Drosophila melanogaster: one gene and its partners. The protein of the gene in region 3 purifies or fractionates together with the protein of the main gene of each other region. This does not show direct contact. Each region holds a gene or a part of one and is shown on either strand. Other genes may lie near its edges.

Region 1 (5,785 bases), 6.9 Mb from region 3:
AGCTTGCGCAGGGCGGTCAGTTCCAATTGTCTGATTTCCTCAGGAGTCAATGCACAATTGAGTTGAGCGCTGGCCCACAGGAATGTGGCCAAGTCTTTGGAGCGCAGGTCTCCAGGCTTGAGAAGAGTCATGAGTCGTTTTACGACGACAGTTAGGCATTCATTCTGATCCCAAAGCTGCTCGGCAAAGAATGCAAAGATATGGGCAAGTCCTCGGGGTTCAATATGGGTTATCTTTACAGGATCCAGACAGATATCTTGCAGGTGCTGGCACACTCGTTCATCTTTGACTTGCTGCAGACGCAATGCCTTGACAAAGGAGACCAGCAAGGCATCGCTTCCGGTGTTTATCTCCAGATTTAATATGGCATTAACGAGTCTTGCTTCGTATGCCGTTTTCGCCTCACCGGTTACCAAAGTTGAGGTTTTGTACGCCGCATTGCTGACCACGGCAAGGTCCATTTCATTTAGTTCAGGCAAATGCGTTTGTAGATGCTCTTCCAGGAGTTGCTGGAATTCCTCAGAAGATTTGGCCTGCTTCTTTTGCAATCCCATATAGAAGCACACCTGAACGAATCGCTCCTTGTTGCCGCGAAAATCCTCCCTGACCAGTCGTTGCATGGCTGCTTGGTAAAAATCCAATCGCTTTATCCAACTTGGTATGAGGAATAGAAAGGAGTAGAGCGTCTCGAGCACTGTGGCGGTATCCATCTTGTCCAGCTGTTTAGCCGCATGGTTATCCAACGTGTTAAGCGCAGTCACATACATGGGTACAGCGGCATTGGAGCGATAGCTGGATGCCTGGATGATCAGGGCGGGCAATTGGGCTGCATCCGTTTTCTCTACCGTCCGCTGAAAGTACCGGTCGTCCGTGATGGGAAAGAAGTCAGAGTACCGGACCGTCGTCTTGGGCAACACGTGATCCGAATCCCTGTAGCGCTCCAGTGCAATGTGCTTGGCGAAGCGGGTCAGCAGTGTGCCGGTCTCATCGCTGCTCCGCAATACATCTCTGGGCGTAAGGGAGGCGTAGGTTCTGATGGGACATCCCAAGTTGGTGACGCCGGCAAAGCGGCGAAGCAGGGCGTACATATCGGATGCACTTCTTCTCAATTTATGTAATGAATTTACAAAACAACGTGCAAGTCCGCAAGCATACGTTAAATCTGCATTCGCTTTTCAACACTGACTAATTTCCTCTCACACGAAGTGAACTACTAATAAGCAAAAGAGGGAAACAGCTAGAAAAGCACCACTGTTATTGGAGACTTTCGAGCACTGTTCAAACACCTGTTTCGGTTAATTGATAGCAACAACATGGAAAAGGCAGCTGGTTTTGTTATTTTTCGCCGCCTTTGTGGGGAAATACAATACCTATTGCTGAAGGCTTCCTACGGCTCCTTCCACTGGAGTTCTCCCAAGGGACATGTGGACCCAGGCGAGGATGATTTTACCACTGCCCTGCGAGAAACGAAAGAGGAAGCCGGGAAAGTGCACAACGATATATCTTTTAAAACATGCTTAATTTCAAAAATGCTCTCATAGGTACGACGAGAAGGATCTGATCATATACAAGGACACTCCGCTGACCCTGAATTATCAGGTGCAAGACAAGCCGAAGATTGTTATTTACTGGCTAGCGGAGCTGCGGAATCCCTGCCAGGAGCCCATTCTCTCCGAGGAGCACACCGACCTCAAGTGGCTGCCCAAGGAGGAGGCCAAGCAGTGCGTCGGCTTTAAGGATAACCAAGTCATGATCGACAAGTTCCACCAAATGATTTTAGATCAAAACAAACCAATGTGAACTGAAAACAATTGCCGGTCTAATGTTGGGCAACACAGAAATTAAAATAAAAAAAGCACAGAAAATACCGTATCAAAAAAAATACCAGAATTATGTCAGGCCAGTATGCCAACGTTGTGCACACTGTTTTAAGGCATCTGTGAAAATTGCTCGAGAAATTAAATTCGCTCTCATTGATTTGTTGTGGCAGCCAAGTTAAGCCCTTCGACTAGCTCGAAATCTTATACAATCACACAATCCAGCACCATGGGCTCCCGTTCACGTACACCCAGTCCGTCGGGCAAGCGACGCCACCATAAGAGCAAGCACAAAAAACGCAGTAAGTCCCACCACGACCACGAGCGGCCCAGCACAAGAACGGATAGAGACAAGTCCTCGGAGGTGAACAACCATGGACGACATCGCGAACGGGACAGGGACCGCGAGCGGGATAGACACCGCAGCGACCGACACACTGAGCGCGACTACCGTCACTCCCCCTCGATCCTGAAATCCCGAAAACGCTCCAGCTCGTCGAGCAGCGACAGTCAGTACTCCGAGCAGGAGTCGCAACGTAGCAAACAGAAGCGCAGCCGCTTTAAGAAGCTGGATGAGGTAAGTGGATAGTGTCCATAGTCTGTCATCTTGAGCACTCCATGGGTACGCATTCCATACACGCATTTTTCCGGGATGGACACTCATGCTGCGCTTATGATACAACTGTTTCGATGAAAGCAACTAAACTATGATCTACCATTACAGCAAAACCAGATGCAGGTCGAACGCCTGGCCGAGATGGAGCGGCAGCGTCGGGCGAAGGAGCTCGAGCAAAAGACAATCGAAGAGGAAGCCGCCAAGCGCATAGAGATGCTGGTAAAAAAGCGCGTCGAGGAGGAGCTAGAAAAGCGTCGCGACGAAATCGAACAGGAGGTCAATCGACGCGTTGAGACCGCCAAGGCTGAGATGGAGCGCGAAATGATGCTGGAGCTGGAGCGGCGGCGAGAGCAGATACGCGAAGAAGAACGCCGGCGCGAGGTAGGTGCTCGTATTCAGATTCCGCTGGACGACTGCTGCTATCACTGTCAGAAACACGTACACAATGCCACATTTACCGTACACTTGAATAAATCCAAAACAGCAGTTCAAACAGTCGTCTCCACCACGTCACGCGAAATCGATCCGGCGGCGCTCTCAGTCGCGGCTCACTGGCTGTTCATCCATCAACCCATGTCCCATCAGCAGCCTCCCCGTACTAGATTGCTTGCATAACCCTGGGCCAAGGGCGCCCACTAACCGGGTACATCACTAACCAGTCGCAACTTTTCAGAGCCCTCCCCACATGATGCAGCAAGCTAAATGCTGTGAGCCGAGATGAGAACGCCACGGCTCGTTTTGCCCCTTTTTTTCTTCTTGCCAATAATTTTGTAACTTTTTATTTTTCCTACCAAAAAAGCCAAAATGACGACATTGCCAAGTGTCGCATGTGTCAAAGTTTTGATGCCCATTATTGCAGACTTATTGCATACTCTTAGCTTCATCTTTTGTTCGTTCCTACCCACATACTGTATCATTTTAATTTTTTTGGTATTGGTTCTCGTAACTCGTTGTTGTTGTTATTGCGCGCAAATTCCGCTTCAGTAGGCCCGTGCAACGAACGTGCTGCTCTTGTCCCGTATGCAAGTGGGTGTGTGTGGCTGTTTTGTGATCCTTACCCGCAAAACACTCGCGTGCACTCCACGTTGTGCCGCCATGCCGGAAGTTGAGCAAGCCTGCTGCCGAGCGATTGGTCCACGGACGCATTTCCTCCACACCAAACAATAAATATCAAAAGAATCAAAGAAATACCAAAGCCCAGCGAAGTGGTATGGTGTCCCTAAGTTAGTCCGGGTAGTTAGGCACTCTAGTTGTGGGCGGGCCGACTGAGTTTAGTCCCAACAGTACGCTGCATGCAAATCAAATCACTGCCACTTTTGATAACGGGTGAGTTTCCTACGCCAGCGATGTGTGATGTTGCCCAGCAGCCGTAAGGATAACAGGCGAGAAAGGACGGCGCACAGACCCAAAGACTCAAAGACTCCCCCCAGGGTTTAGCTCTATAGAACTCTGTCTGTAAGAATTTTTGAAACCGGATACGCATTGGATTGCCACTTATTTGTGTTTAAGCTTTTTGTTTTTGCGAGCAAATTACATATGTACGTCTGGAATAGCGAAAAACTCCACAAAAATAATCCCAAATCGAAAATCTGCAAAAAAAAAAAAAAAGAAAACCATAAATTAACACAAATTTAGCCTATTTACTGGAATAATGACCTATTTAAATAGTAAGTAGCAACAATAAAAAAAAAAAAAAACCAAATGAAGACCAACCATTTAGCAAATACTAGTACATTTGTTTATGTTGTGTGCTCCTTTATTGTAATAAACTAAAAGAACAACCTACTTTAAACATTCTTATTAGACACTACTAAATGTTTTACTTTCTACCGAAAATATTCTTTGTAACTTATTGTTAAACATAAAACTAGATTTTAACTGCCTTTGCAGCTCATCAAGCAAAAAACTGCAACCACAAACGTGCGTCGAATTCGTCGCACAGTTTGCATCGCTGATGTCAAGAGACTGTTTATTTCTATAATTAGCATTAAGCTTCTCGCTAAAGGATCGATTTTTGTTATTAATCGTCTTCTTGTTTGGGTTTTATAGGAGGATGAAAAACAAAAACGCGAAGAGCTCGAAGAAATTTTGGCCGAAAACAATCGCAAAATCGAAGAGGCGCAAAGAAAACTGGTAAGAATTCATAGCAAACAAACCATATTATTATGATCATAATTGATTTCTTTTTTCTTTAGGCCGAAGAACGGTTAGCAATAATCGAGGAGCAGCGCCTTATGGACGAGGAGCGGCAACGCATGCGCAAGGAGCAGGAGAAGCGCGTCAAGGAAGAGCAGAAGGTCATATTAGGCAAAAACAATTCCAGGCCCAAGCTATCGTTCTCCCTGAAACCGGGCGCATTATGAGGAGCGTAGGCATCAGTCTGGTGACCGTCGCACCTTTTCTTGTTAACAGCTTTTGCTTTTTTTTTTACCTCAGTGGCTATTTGCCTGCGACACAGACCATGCACTCGTTTTCATTGTTGTAATTGTGTTCTATATTATTTTTATTATTTTAAGGACGAGCTGTGGTGCTGAGAGCAGGCAAAGCACAGCCAATAGATTCAACGTTTTCAAAATTGCCAATTACTGAACACATACGGCTCTATATAGTACAATACGCTAGCGATTTACTTAACCTTTTCTACATAAAGAATTCATATGTGAGACAAATGATTATGTGTAGTGCGTCGTATTGTTGTCACAGCTGAACGATTAACAAAAAAGAAGAAAAAAAAAAAAAGAAAACCAAAAAGATGTCAGTGAAATACATATGTAATCTATTTGCAATTTTTTGATATTTCAAGAAAACATAGAAATCAGCTGAAATCGATAATAAAAAACTTTAGAAATGCCAAAAGTTGAATATTATTATATATAATCTGTATAAGCTTAAGTGTTTCAGATTTGCAATGCAAGAGCTACAAGTGCATTAGCGAGCGAATTAAGCACCATTCGCTTAGTAAATTTGACAGTTTTGCCAAAACATACGTGCGCTTTTCAGCTCCTCCATCCTCCACCGAATCCCCCGATCCCCTTTGGTATCGGACACGATCTAAGCCAGTGTACATGTCGCTAAGTAGACACAACTTATTATTTATAGAGACTACTTCAATTTATATGTCTCTTGTTGCTGATTGGGTTGGGCGACGCTGGACAGCGGGCGACAGCCGGCACGCCCGCGCGTAGCATGGAACTGGAGGCTGCGATCAGGTGGAGAGGCGGCGGTGTCCGATCTGTCCAAGTGCGTGCGTGCGCAGGAGGCGGGGATGCCGAATTGGTAGGCGACTTCACTCAGAGTCGTAATGTGGTTCTAAGCGAATGTGGCGCAAGATATGCCTGTTATGCATACGCAC
Region 2 (5,260 bases), about 16 Mb from region 3:
TTCGCTGATCGAGGCGCAGACAATCTGACGCACTTGAGCATCGAATCCCGGCGGCAGCCAGCCCGTGCGTTCATTGCACACAGCTCCGGTAAGTGGAGTGGGGATCTTCTCCAACATTTCCTGGATCCTCGTCATACGGACGTCGCAGTAGCGCAGCATGCATTGCCTGGAGCGCGGCAGCTTGTGCTCATCGAAGTAGGGATAGTCAATGTCCTGAACCAAATCAGAGACTCGATCCTCGATGGGCGCGAATGGAGCGTTCGCCGCCCTCCGTTGCTTTACGAACTTCTTAGCATACACGAATTCGGAGAGACCAGTGCTGAATCGGAGTCGGAAGTCGAAAGTCTGATAGTAGCGACTATTGAAGTCCTTGCGGGGATCGTAGCCGAAGCGAACATACAAAGTGCGCCACGGGCCGTTGCTAAAGTAAAATGCCAGCGATGGAGTGATGCACTTGAGTTTGTCGTTGGTCAAACCCGATTCATATTGCAGCGCGATTCGGGTCCAAATTGGGCAGTCATCGAAAAGTTTTTTGACCAATGCCAGCTGCTCATCCGAAACGTACTTGACCTTGAGTCGTTTAAGGTTTTGGGAGTCTGCCTGGGTGGGAAAGCTGTCCACCATGTTGAACGAGACCACGCCCTGGTTGTCGTAGGAGGACTTGGACTGCACGCCCAGCACCTCATGTTGGCCGTCTTCTGAGGGATCGATGCGATACGTGCCCGCATAGACAGTGTCCACGTGGGTGAACAATTCGGGCAGCGCCAGCAACTGGCTGTGGCGACGTCTGTGGGAAAAATACGATGCTTTTACATACTGAGCATTAAAATGATTAATTATACATGCTATATAGCTTTCAAACCAGGATCTCATTCTCTTGGTGCACAGAGCACGAATATGGACAAGTTACTCACTTAAAGTAGTCCAAGTCGGTGGTGTTTTTGGGTTTCAACTGGTCCAAAGCGTACGTGAGCTCCTGGGCAGCATTTGCGTTGTCACTTTTGGGAGTTGACCAGAGGGGTAGGTATTGGAAATCACAAAGCGCTTAAAGTAAAAGGAAATTAGAATATATCGTGGATGGAATTCCGACCATCTACTCACTTTCAAAGGTGAAGCTCCTGCTGCAGTGGCCCAACACCCGCACAAAATATTCCGGAGGCCGTTGCTTGTCCTTTTTGTGGCGCCTCACGGTTATGGATAGCAGGACACCAGTCTTATCCGTGCAGTCCCCAAAAGTGGGTTTGTTGTAGGGATTCTCCGGATGGAAGTGCAACGCCAATCGTTTCACTTCGTCGCCCAAAACCTGTGCATGGAATAAGATATCAGCCAAGTTGCCCGATTGCCTGACCAGGTTGAATTCCATACCTTAGACACATTGATGATGCCGCCCAGAGTGGCTATCATCCGATCGGGATTTACCACTCGGCCGGGGTACTCGATCAACTCATATTCTTTCTGCGGATTGAAACTCAATTGGCGCGACATGATATGAAACTGAGGTGAGTTTAACGAATTAAACAGCTGTTAGGGGAACAGTGATGCTCTCTACTAATAAATTCGAGCAAAAAAAAATGAGCAACACACAAAATTGAATGTGCCATGAAGGTGTACCCATAAGTCCTTTAAAACTAGTTATTGCCACAAATAAGCCTATAATATAAGAAACATAATTTGTAATAAAATAAATATAGAATATTATATATATATATAATATATTTTTAGCAATTTGATTATTATTGTTTGCTCACCCAGTGCTGAAAATAGCTAGCTTGGCAGCACTGCATGTTATCGAATTACCTATCGCTAGCCGGTTTGTTTATAGGCAATCTTGAAAATGTCGGGTAAAAACAGAAAACGCACGGCCAGCAGCAGCAGCAGCGGTGAGGAGCCGGACAGCGAGGAAGAGTCTCGCCTAAAGGACCTGCAGGAGCGCGACGAGTTCGCCAGCCGGCTGAAGAAGCGGGATGACGATCGGACGCGCAATGTGGTTGATTCCACCGGCGGACGAAGGGCCATCGAGGAGGCCACCAAGCGACTGAAGCTTGAGCATGAGGATCGGGACAAGATAGTGCCTCACCTGCGTCTGCAGTCGCGTCGCCAGTACCTGGAGAAGCGCAAGGATGACAAGGTGGCCGAGCTGGAGGCGGACATCCTGGACGATGAGTACCTCTTCGATGAGAGCGTGTAGGATCATAGCTTAATCCTTACCTACATAGGTATCCAAATAATCCTGGTTTGCTTTCAGCCTGACCAAACGGGAGAAGGAGGAGCGCGAGTACAAGAAGCAACTGCTGAACATCGCCAAGGAGCACGAGAAGGCGCGGGAACTAGAGCGCATCCAGCGTTATAATATGCCGCAGGACCTGAAAAAGGGAGAGCGATGTATGTAGACAACGTACGTTGGTCCTCGATAAATACTTATATGTTATTTTTCCACTTAAGCTGAATACGTTGAGGTTGATGAGTTTGAGAAGCAACCCAACTCAGAGCAGAAGAAATGGGAGGCTGAACAGCTGGCTTCGGCGCGTTTCCATTTCGGCGCGAAAGATGCCAAGGCGGAGGAGGAGTATGAGCTGCTACTTGACGATCAAATCGATTTCATCCAAGCCCTTACCCTGGACGGAAGTCGAGAGAAATCATCTAGCCGACAGCCCGAACTCACGGAGAAGGAACGCAAACGTTTGACATTGGACGAAACCAGAAGATCACTGCCCGTTTATCCGTTCAAGGAGGATCTGATTGCTGCTGTAAAGGAACATCAGGTGCTCATCATCGAAGGAGAAACAGGCTCGGGCAAAACGACACAGGTGCCGCAGTACCTCGTGGAAGCTGGTTTCACCAAGGACAAGAAGATGATCGGATGCACGCAACCACGTCGTGTGGCCGCCATGTCGGTGGCAGCACGCGTGGCCGAGGAAATGGGCGTGAAGCTGGGCAACGAGGTGGGCTACAGCATCCGTTTCGAGGACTGCACCTCGGATCGCACCATTCTCAAGTACATGACGGACGGCACCCTGCATCGAGAGTTCCTTTCGGAACCCGACTTGGCCTCCTACAGTGTGATGATTATCGATGAGGCTCACGAACGGACACTGCACACGGACATTTTGTTTGGCCTGGTCAAGGATATTGCTCGCTTTAGACCAGAGTTGAAGCTGCTCATTTCCAGTGCCACTCTGGATGCGGAAAAGTTCTCCGCGTTCTTCGATGATGCACCCATCTTTCGGATACCTGGTCGCCGCTATCCAGTGGACATATTCTACACCAAGGCTCCGGAAGCGGACTACATCGACGCGTGTTGCGTTTCAGTTTTGCAGATTCATGCCACTCAACCTTTGGGCGACATTCTAGTCTTCCTCACGGGTCAGGATGAGATCGAGACTTGCCAGGAGGTTCTGCATGATCGCGTAAAGCGGCTGGGCTCCAAAATACGTGAGCTGATCGTTATACCCGTCTATGCGAATCTACCGAGTGATATGCAGGCCAAAATCTTCGAACCCACACCGCCGAATGCCCGAAAAGTTATCCTGGCCACAAATATCGCAGAGACTTCGCTAACCATCGACAACATCATTTATGTAATTGATCCTGGGTTTGCCAAGCAGAACAATTTTAATTCCCGCACTGGCATGGAGTCGCTTATGGTGGTGCCCATTTCCAAGGCCTCCGCCAATCAGCGAGCGGGCAGAGCGGGACGAACTGCTCCGGGAAAGTGCTTCCGTCTGTATACGGCGTGGGCATACAAGCATGAACTGGAGGACAATACCGTTCCGGAGATACAGCGTATTAATCTGGGCAATGCGGTGCTCATGCTAAAGGCTCTGGGCATCAATGATCTGATACACTTCGACTTTCTGGACCCTCCGCCGCACGAGACACTGGTATTGGCTTTGGAGCAGCTATATGCCCTGGGTGCACTTAATCACCATGGAGAGTTAACCAAGCTGGGTCGACGGATGGCCGAGTTTCCCGTGGATCCCATGATGGGCAAGATGCTGCTGGCAAGCGAAAAGTATGTAATCGATCTAACAAACCAGAAGTGAAATAATTCGTATAATATTCGTATATTTTTGTTTTAGATACAAATGCTCCGAGGAGATGGTGACCATTGCAGCCATGCTGTCCGTGAATAGCGCCATTTTCTACAGGCCCAAGGACAAAATCATTCACGCGGACACAGCCCGAAAAAACTTCAATCACATGCACGGCGACCACTTGAGCCTCCTGCAGGTCTACAATCAGTGGGCGGAGACGGACTACAGCACCCAGTGGTGCTACGAGAACTTCATCCAGTACAGATCGATGAAGCGGGCTCGCGACGTGCGGGAGCAGCTGGTGGGACTGATGCAGCGTGTCGAGATCGACATGGTCAGCTGCCTGCCAGAAACAGTAAACGTGCGCAAGGCAGCCACCGCTGGTTACTTTTACCATGTGGCGCGACTCTCGAAGGGCGGTCACTACAAGACCATCAAGCACAATCAGACCGTGATGATACATCCGAACTCCTCGCTCTTTGAGGAGCTGCCGCGCTGGGTGCTCTATCACGAGCTGGTGTTCACCTCCAAGGAGTACATGCGTCAGGTTATAGAGATCGAGAGCAAGTGGTTGCTGGAGGTGGCTCCGCACTACTACAAGGCCAAGGAGCTGGAGGATTCGACGAACAAGAAGATGCCAAAAGTCGCCGGGCGAGCCGAAATGGCGCAATAATTTTGAGGGGGTTTTTAGTTTTCAATTAATAATAAACTTTTATTGTAAATTTCACCATTTGTAGTTTGATATTGTAAACTGGCTTTGTTTATTATTATTCTTTTTAAATTTCGATAATCGATAATCTTAGGAAACAATCGAATACGATTCTTATTAGTACGTTTCGATATATGGCGGCCCCACCGACAGTTGTATTATCGATAACAGGCCGTGTGGTTGTATTTCGTGTTTTGCATTTCAAAGAGCAAAATTGCACAATAATTTAATTTAAGTGCAACCAAAAACCTTTAACAAGTGAGTCTATGAGCGAGCCGAGCTAACTGCGTTTGAAGACCAGGAAGAACAGGGGATAAAAACACGCAAACAGCACATTGTCATTAAACCATGACGTTCTAACCTAAAAACTGATGAAATTTCCAAGTCCAGTCGGCTTTCATTTACATATATAGTTTATAGAACAGTAACTAAATACATTACGTTTGTTTTATTCAAAGGATAATGGCTGCTCAGTTCTTTAATCGCATTGGCCAAATGGGCCTCGGAGTGGCCGTTT
Region 3 (8,064 bases):
CCCTAGCAACTCCACCCCCACGGGCGATCGCTTCATCGACATCAGTCTGAGCCTGTCCAGTCGCCTTCTGCCGCTCCGCATTTGGGAGATGAGTGTGGTGCAGATCCCCTTCAGCCAACGAGCTCCGGCGGGTTGCCTACAATATCACACCGGCACCGAGGGCATTATGCAAACCTTTAACTTCGCCGAGAATGGTCGACATTTGGCCAATCAAAACTATCGGATTTGTGTGCGCCAGGAGCTGGACATGTGCTCCATTATGTACCAGCCATGCGATGAGCAGTCCTTCCGCATCGGCGGAGGTGGGCGAATGGCAAGCCGAGGTGGTGGCACCTCTGAAGCAGCAGCGACAACGGCAACGTCGAGTCCTGCTCCAGCCCAGTCAGATGCAGCAGGTGCAACAGCAACAACATTAGGCAATGCTGCAGTGACCACTACAGCACCTACTTCTAGCACCCTCATGCAGATGCTAGCCAACATGGCAAACTCCACAACCACAACGCTGATGACCATGATGAGCGGAAATTCGACTCTGGCTGCCAGTTCAGTATCATCGGGCAGTACCAGCAGCAGCAGCAGTAGCAGCACCGCTGCCATGAGCACGACGACAACATCAACCACTCCCACACCGCTCCGATCCAGTACAGAGGCATCTACCACCTCGGCAGCACCTGCATCTTCGCCAGCCAGCGATGATGTGGAGGGATCGGGTGGTGAGGTAGGCGATGATGAGGATGACGACGGTGGGTTTCTCTTCTTCAGGAGTCGTCCCACCACGGAGGGACCTACCGTTTCCAGACGTCCTCGTCCCAGTGGAGGCTTCGACATCATGGGTATTATTCGGAATGCCATCGATTTGCCGCTGAAGTGGCGACGGCGACAGGCCCGCCAGTTCTTCAGCACCTGCTCTGACCGGATTACAATGCCTTGCATCATAGAGGATTTCATAGGAACCGGTCTGGGCCCACTTCCTGGGTGCGAGCCCGTCCACTGCGGCGCCCAATTCTGCTCCTCGGGCGTGTGGCCCTGTCGCATTGAAAGCACTGTGACTCCGTTCTATATTGGTGTCCACTTCGGCAATGGCCAGGGCGCCGGCAAGGCGAACGCAGAGGATAACGTGGGTGCCTGTCTGCGATATTCCCAAGTGCAATGCATGTAATGACTTGCGGGGATATTAACTTTCATTTCGCTTTAACAAATTATTTTTCAATTATCGAAATAGAGTTAAGATACTGTGTTTGTGATGACTTAAATACTTCTATTTTATTTGTAGGTTGATAGTAACATTCCCTGGATAAATAGTATGTACAAAATTCTTCAACTTATTCGAACTTAGTTAAGACAAACTACAATGATTCAAAATAGTATTCTAAGCGACTTTTACAGCTTTCAATAAATGTCTATGTGAGTTGTTCGCTTGCTTATATTATCGAATTATATTCACAATCAGTATTTAAATACATATATATAATGTGCAATCGGAGAGGTAAAGCTTATCGCAAAATAAAAAACCATTCCATTTGACTTGAACTGTGCTGCGGATGTGCGTTTGAGTAAGCTGACATCGCTTGGAATGACAATGAAACTTAATGCCAACAGGATGACAGCAAATAGGTAGGGATACATTTAGCAATGGCCCCTTTGCAGGGCGACGACTTTGGCTTGCAGCGGTAAACATTCATATACAAATGATAAGAGCTTGATAACCCTTCTGATACTAGAAGTATTCGCCAGCAGCCTTGTACGATCTCGGGCAATTTTGTTCGGCATACAAGGCGTAGGCGTTCTTAGATCCTATTTTGATAGGCAGCTTGCTCGAGTGCTTATTCCACACATGCACTACATACGAGTCCTTGCACCGGGCGATTGTCTCTTCTAAGTTTTCCGGCTCAAAGAAGTCTCGCCACTGCTTCCACGGTACGGCGTAAAAGGCGCCCCGTCCGAATACTTTGAAGCCCATGCAGCGCTTGGGGTCCTCTCGCATCAGAGCAATGTCTTTGGTGCCACATATCTTCTGAGCCACACGGGTTATCACCCCTGGGCCATTGTTGCCCCAGTCCCCGCCGTTAAAGTTGTGCTGAAAGTCGCGCAAACAGGACGCGGCGATCTCGTGGCCAAAGCCAGTGGCTGCCAGGTTCATTACGCCAGCTGCCAAATGGGTGTTGGACTCAGCACCTGTGTAATTGGGCGGCACCTTCTCCATGTTGCGAAGCACCACCACATCCATGTCCAGATAAAGACCGCCATACCGATAGAGGGTAAGGTAGCGGAGAAAGTCTGATATGTGCGAGAACAAATATCTGGAAAGGTAATGTCATCAATGAGTAATAACTAGGGAGAGTCTTTAAACTCACTTTGACCGCGACAAACGACCATCTTTGAGCCACTCCTCCATGGGCGTGCCAGATGCGTAACTCTCGAGATTCAGTCGACGTAGATGGACATTGCTGTAACTGAGAATGGCCTCCAACAATGGTTGGGGATGGCTTTTGTTGTTGGAGATTCGATAGGTGGGGCCAGCGAACAGGACGAACACTTGGAAATTCGGATTATGCATCGCTGCCGACTCGATTGCGCATGCCTGGCGGGCAGTGACCTTCAGCGTCTCCAGCTGTCTGTTCTCGGATAGGCGGCAGCTGGTCTCGTGAAAGAAGATACTGTTTCCGGGCGAGGGTTTGGGATCCGCCTGGAGGACGTCGCCCAATAGATTTGTTTCGCCATCTGCAGTTAGCGCCTGCTGAGTTGCCAGTACTTGGCCCTCCATAAAGCATGAGTGGTATTTATTTTCCGAAGTGTAGATGTAGAAGAGGCCTCCAATTACCATTAGGACGAGGATGATGAACATCCTGCGTGCCACCGCAATGGGCAACCAGAGGAGCATGACTGCAGAGAGATCTGGTAGCAAAAAATAGTGTAAGCATCATTTAACTTAAATGTTGTACATTTCAGCTATTTCTTACTCTATGTACGCCACATCGTCGCTGGGCAGTATTCCTTAATCGCCCTCGACGACAAGGAAACTCTAACAATTGAAAGGCACACAGCGAAGAACCACAACAAAAAGCGCTGTTATCGTTCCGCGGAAGCTAATCGATAACAGAAAATCTACCGGGTGGACAGTTCTCGTGTGTGGACTCGATAACTCGATGGGGTGGGCAGTTTCATTGCACAATCGACATCTCTGGCGTGGAAAGCGGCATTCGCTTTGAGAATTTTACGGATTTTTTCAATTACCGAAAGAAAAGTGAATTGGCCGGCGCAGCACGCAACGACCGGTAGACTCTCGGTGCACCCATTACCCATATAGCAAAATAGTGAAATGAATGTTCCTCCTAGCGTGGGCAATGGAGGAGCGCCACCGGGAAGGGGCATAGGCTACACGCCGCCCGGTGCAATCGTGCCGCAGTTTCCACCACCCGGATTTGGGGCCCCACCCCCACCGGAGCTGGCCGCCGCCTTCGGGGTGATGGCCACCAGCACCGAGTGGACGGAGCACAAGGCGCCGGACGGACGACCATACTATTACAATCAGAACACGAAGCAAAGCTCGTGGGAGAAGCCGGAGGCTCTGATGACGCCCGCCGAGCTGCTGCACAACCAGTGTCCCTGGAAGGAGTATCGCTCGGATACGGGCAAAGTGTACTACCACAACGTGGCCACCAAGGAGACCTGCTGGGAGCCGCCGCCGGAGTACGTGGATATGAAGGCCAAGGCGAAGGCGGAAGAGTAAGTAAATTAGTTGTGCATCGCGTGCCACTTAGTAATATGATTCCTTGTTTACCCAGAGCTGCTGCAGCCGCCAAAGCCGTAGCAGCCATGACATCATCCAGCTTAGCCGGCATGGTGCCACCTGCTGCTCTGGCTAGTATTCTTCCCGCTGCCCTGCCTGTTGCCCCCCGATTACCGACTCCTGAGATCCACTCGCCGCTGACACCCAGCAGCAACGAGAACTCGTCATCAGCGATGGATCAGGCCATGGCCGCCACGTTAGCGGCTATAGAGGTGCCACAACAAAATGGTAAATATTATAAACTCTGAAAATATACAGCCCAAGTCACACGACTTTCTTTGCAGCTAAGAAGGACGACAAGTCAGAGAGCGCTGTGGTGTTTAAGGATAAACGCGAGGCCATCGAGTCCTTTAAAGAGCTGCTGCGGGACCGCAATGTGCCATCAAATGCGAACTGGGACCAGTGTGTGAAAATCATATCAAAGGATCCGCGATACGCAGCCTTCAAAAATCTGAACGAGCGCAAGCAAACATTCAATGCCTACAAGACGCAGAAGATTAAGGACGAGCGCGAGGAGTCTCGCTTAAAAGCCAAGAAGGCAAAAGAGGACTTGGAGCAGTTCCTTATGTCCAGCGATAAGATGAACTCGCAGATGAAATATTTTCGTTGTGAAGAAGTATTTGCCGGAACGCGAACATGGACCGCGGTGCCGGAACCGGATCGGCGAGATATATACGAGGACTGTATATTTAATTTAGCGAAGCGAGAGAAGGAAGAAGCGCGGTTGCTGAAAAAACGAAACATGAAGGTTCTGGGCGAGCTGCTAGAGTCGATGACTTCAATCAATCATGCCACCACCTGGTCAGAGGCTCAGGTTATGCTATTGGACAACGTAGCATTTAAGAATGATGTGACTCTGCTCGGAATGGACAAGGAGGACGCCCTAATTGTCTTCGAGGAGCACATTCGCACCTTGGAAAAGGAGGAGGACGAGGAACGTGAGCGGGAAAAGAAGCGCATGAAGCGACAGCAGCGCAAAAACAGGGACTCCTTTCTTGCGCTGCTCGACTCCCTGCATGAAGAGGGAAAGCTCACTTCCATGTCGCTGTGGGTGGAGCTGTATCCCATCATATCAGCCGATTTGCGATTCTCCGCTATGCTCGGCCAGAGCGGGTCTACACCCCTGGATCTTTTCAAGTTCTATGTGGAAAACCTGAAAGCCCGCTTCCATGATGAGAAAAAAATAATAAGGGAGATCCTCAAGGAAAAGGCATTTGTTGTCCAAGCGAAGACATCCTTCGAGGACTTTGCCACGGTCGTGTGTGAAGATAAGCGGTCAGCCAGCCTGGACGCGGGAAATGTGAAGCTCACATACAACTCCCTGCTGGAAAAGGTAACTATGGAGTGGGAAAAAAACCTTATATCAATAAAACTCATTTGTGTATTTATAATCTACAGGCCGAGGCCATTGAAAAGGAACGGATGAAAGAGGAGGTGCGAAGGTTGCGGAAACTAGAAAATGAAATTAAAAACGAATGGCTGGAGGCGAACGTCTCAGTGGCCGAACCCTATGAGAGCGCCAAGAAGCTGGTAGAACACCTTGAAGCATTTGCCCTTTATGAAAAAGAAATCGGTGTGGAGAAGATCTGGGAGGACTTTGTTAAGGAAAGCGAAGATGCGTGCAGCCATCATCACTCGCGATCACGAAAATCTAAGAAAAACAAGAAGCACAAAAAACGAGTACGGTCCGTCTCGAGATCAGACATCGAGAATGAGCATATAGAAGTGGAGAAGTCCAAGCGAAGGCGCTCCAAGACACGATCGGTTAGTATGCTAAACATAACATTAAATGCAACTTGTAAGTTAAATAATAACGTCACGCACATACAGCATTCCCTGACCTCAATTGGCAGCATCGAGAGCGAAAAATTGCTGAAGAAGAAAAAGAAGCGCAAGAACAAACTGCGAGGTGTACGTAGCAAGTCGGCCCAGTCCTTGGACAACTATACTATCTAACATGGCTTACATTTCAGTCCTCCTGCGAATCGGATGTTCCAGGCATTCAATCGCCGGGAACTCAAGCTCTACTTCAGAACGACTCAAACTCGCACTCACCCGCAAAGAAAAAGAAGAAGGAGAAGCGAGCTAAGAAGGACAAGCGACACAACAGGCACAATCGATCCGGCACGCCCCTTAGTCCTGCCCAGTCCGTCGAGTCGTCTGGATCGCGAAACGAGGAGCTGACGTTAAGTGACGGCGAGCTGGAATCGAAGCGAGCGGCTCTTCTAGCCCAACTCAGCGAGCAGCTCGACGAGTGACCAGCTGACAGGCGTTGAGTCAAAGCCGACATCGACATCGTGTGGCACTCTCTAGCTCTAGCTTAAGGAGGATCGGGAGAGGTAGCTAGCCCTGGACTCAGTTGCTGGACAAGTTCTCTTTTCAGTCCTTGCCTTCCACTGCACTCTGCTTCGTTTGGTTTAGATACTGTCCTGGTCCCAGCACAAACCACACAGCGAACCACAATTGTAATTTCTTAGTCTCAATAAGTTTCAATGTATAAATGAGAATTAAACCTAACGAGTCAAATTTTAAGTTATACGCAAATGATTTTGATTCTGCATCAAAATAAACAAATTACGATAGAAATTACAAGATAAGATCTTTTGTGTTAACTTCACTTTTTGCAGAACCTATTTTAAATCCTCGCATTTAAATTGAATGACGCGAACTTATTGTAGTTTTTACTATGTTTAATGACATCCTTGACAATCGCACAAATGGAAAAGTTGTATTTCTTGTTGTCAAACTAAAACTTGAACTCCTTGTACTTCTTTGTGGTCTTGGCCGGATCCGTTTGCTGTCGCTTGCGCTTCGATTTCTGCCGCGCCACATGTTCGGCCAACATGTCTGACAGATCCTCCTTTTGCAGGTGATTCTGCTGCTCACGCATTTGTTGCTCATAACGCTGGGCCATTGCGTCATTGTCCAAGTCCAATTCGCTAGGATCGAGAGCCAGTTCCACAATGCCCTCGCGATCTGTGGTTGATCGAACTGGGGGCTGTTTGTTAGCCCCACTGCCACTGACGTCGTAGACATGGGTTGATCCCATCATGGAAGCCCCTATGCGGTCGGTGCGCTTCTCAGGCAGCACTTGATACAGAACAGGAGTTTCGTTGCTAGGAGAAGTTGGAATAATGGGCTTAATCGTGATGTTATTTTAAAAATATTAGTTCACTTACTCCTCCATCTCGGCTTCAATTTTCTTCTTGCGAAGCTCAATGTTCTCGGGGGTTTCCATGCCAGCTGGAACACTGGTGAGTCCAGAGGGTGTTACTAGTCCCTCTACTGGCGTTACCAGGCCAGTCTCATCCTGCTGATCGCCCAAGTCCTCGCCATCTTCCTCTTCCTCCTCGGATGATTCTTCTGACTCCGATTCCAGTTCGCCCCATTGGTTACGTTCAATGTCAGCTTCGTCTACGCCATTCTATAAAAAAACAATGACATTAAAACAAGAAGTGCTACGCGAATGTTGCCACTCACATCAAGGTCCAATATGTTGGTTCCAAATACGTCACCGTACAGCGGTTTTCCGTTCTCATCCACTGGCGGCTTGCCCCAACCTCCGGCATGATAACCGAACGAGGTTCCGTCTGGGATCGGAGCATTCAGGCCAGGAATTTTAAGATTCGGATACGAGGGCGGCGGCCCGTAGCGCTGTTGAGCAATGAGCCATGGTGGCGGAATCTTGTGTGAGTTGGGTCCCACGGGCATTCCCAGAGCAATGCGCAACTCCTCGGAGAGATCTCCGGGCTTCTTTTCCTTAAGGCGTGTCTCAAACTCCTTGCCCTCGTAGTAGAGGTCGCCATGAATGGTCATGCGGGGCTTGGTCTGCCACTTGAAGAAGGCATCGTGAAGTTTCTGGTAGTCAATGTCAATTTTGCCCATCTTGGGACGGACGCGTTCACGCATCTTGGCCTTGAGTGTCTTGGCGTCCTCTCGTTCCTGCAACGATTCGCGCATCTCCATGATGCCCGTCTTTTTGATGAAGGCGGGGAGATCGAACGGAGGCTTCTCAATACCCCTTTTGCCCTGCAGATATTTTCGCTTGAAGCACCAATGCCGCGGCACTTGTACTGTGTTCCTATAGGCTTTCAGTTGAACCAGTAGTTTGGGATCTCTCGCTGTGACATCGTGCATCTCCACTACGTCAGGTCGAGAGACCAGTTGTTTCAGTTCTGCCACACTCAAACGGGTCAGTTTCTTAAGTTTCCGCTTGGACAGCTTCTCCTTGTCTTCCTTGCGCTCTTCGTCATCATCGCCGTCATCGTCCTCGT

Evidence for each region. Proteins that work in one complex are often made in the same cells at the same time.
Region 1: the proteins of Prp40 (region 3) and Arglu1 purify together in Drosophila melanogaster (affinity purification with mass spectrometry, with the first as the bait; one large-scale study listed by BioGRID). This does not show direct contact.
Region 2: the proteins of Prp40 (region 3) and l(2)37Cb purify together in Drosophila melanogaster (affinity purification with mass spectrometry, with the first as the bait; one large-scale study listed by BioGRID). This does not show direct contact.

The regions. Positions count from the first base shown.
Region 1 is NT_033779.5:9,934,267-9,940,051, reverse strand, and holds Arglu1 (arginine and glutamate rich 1), read left to right. Parts: upstream 1-1,917; 5' UTR 1,918-2,046; coding exon 2,047-2,394; exon of another isoform or gene 2,395-2,541; coding exon 2,542-2,814; coding exon of another isoform or gene 2,815-3,048; exon of another isoform or gene 3,049-4,482; coding exon 4,483-4,566; intron 4,567-4,628; coding exon 4,629-4,796; 3' UTR 4,797-5,285; downstream 5,286-5,785. Other genes in the region: CG4619 (uncharacterized protein), read right to left, coding at 1-1,088. UniProt on the Drosophila melanogaster protein: Post-transcriptional regulator of gene expression; modulates splicing and premature cleavage at cryptic polyadenylation sites of its own pre-mRNA through binding and regulation of the U1-snRNP complex.
Region 2 is NT_033779.5:19,123,498-19,128,757, reverse strand, and holds l(2)37Cb (lethal (2) 37Cb), read left to right. Parts: upstream 1-1,781; 5' UTR 1,782-1,834; coding exon 1,835-2,184; intron 2,185-2,245; coding exon 2,246-2,382; intron 2,383-2,442; coding exon 2,443-4,012; intron 4,013-4,079; coding exon 4,080-4,707; 3' UTR 4,708-4,760; downstream 4,761-5,260. Other genes in the region: l(2)37Cd (lethal (2) 37Cd), read right to left, coding at 1-787, 915-1,044, 1,102-1,303, 1,366-1,485; Phb1 (prohibitin 1), read left to right, coding at 5,206-5,260.
Region 3 is NT_033779.5:3,020,069-3,028,132, forward strand, and holds Prp40 (pre-mRNA processing factor 40), read left to right. Parts: upstream 1-3,157; 5' UTR 3,158-3,319; coding exon 3,320-3,726; intron 3,727-3,785; coding exon 3,786-4,018; intron 4,019-4,074; coding exon 4,075-5,123; intron 5,124-5,188; coding exon 5,189-5,554; intron 5,555-5,620; coding exon 5,621-5,701; intron 5,702-5,763; coding exon 5,764-6,048; 3' UTR 6,049-6,371; downstream 6,372-8,064. Other genes in the region: CG17264 (uncharacterized protein), read left to right, coding at 1-1,159; alpha4GT1 (alpha1,4-galactosyltransferase 1), read right to left, coding at 1,718-2,300, 2,355-2,881; Sf3b2 (splicing factor 3b subunit 2), read right to left, coding at 6,537-6,906, 6,970-7,214, 7,271-8,064.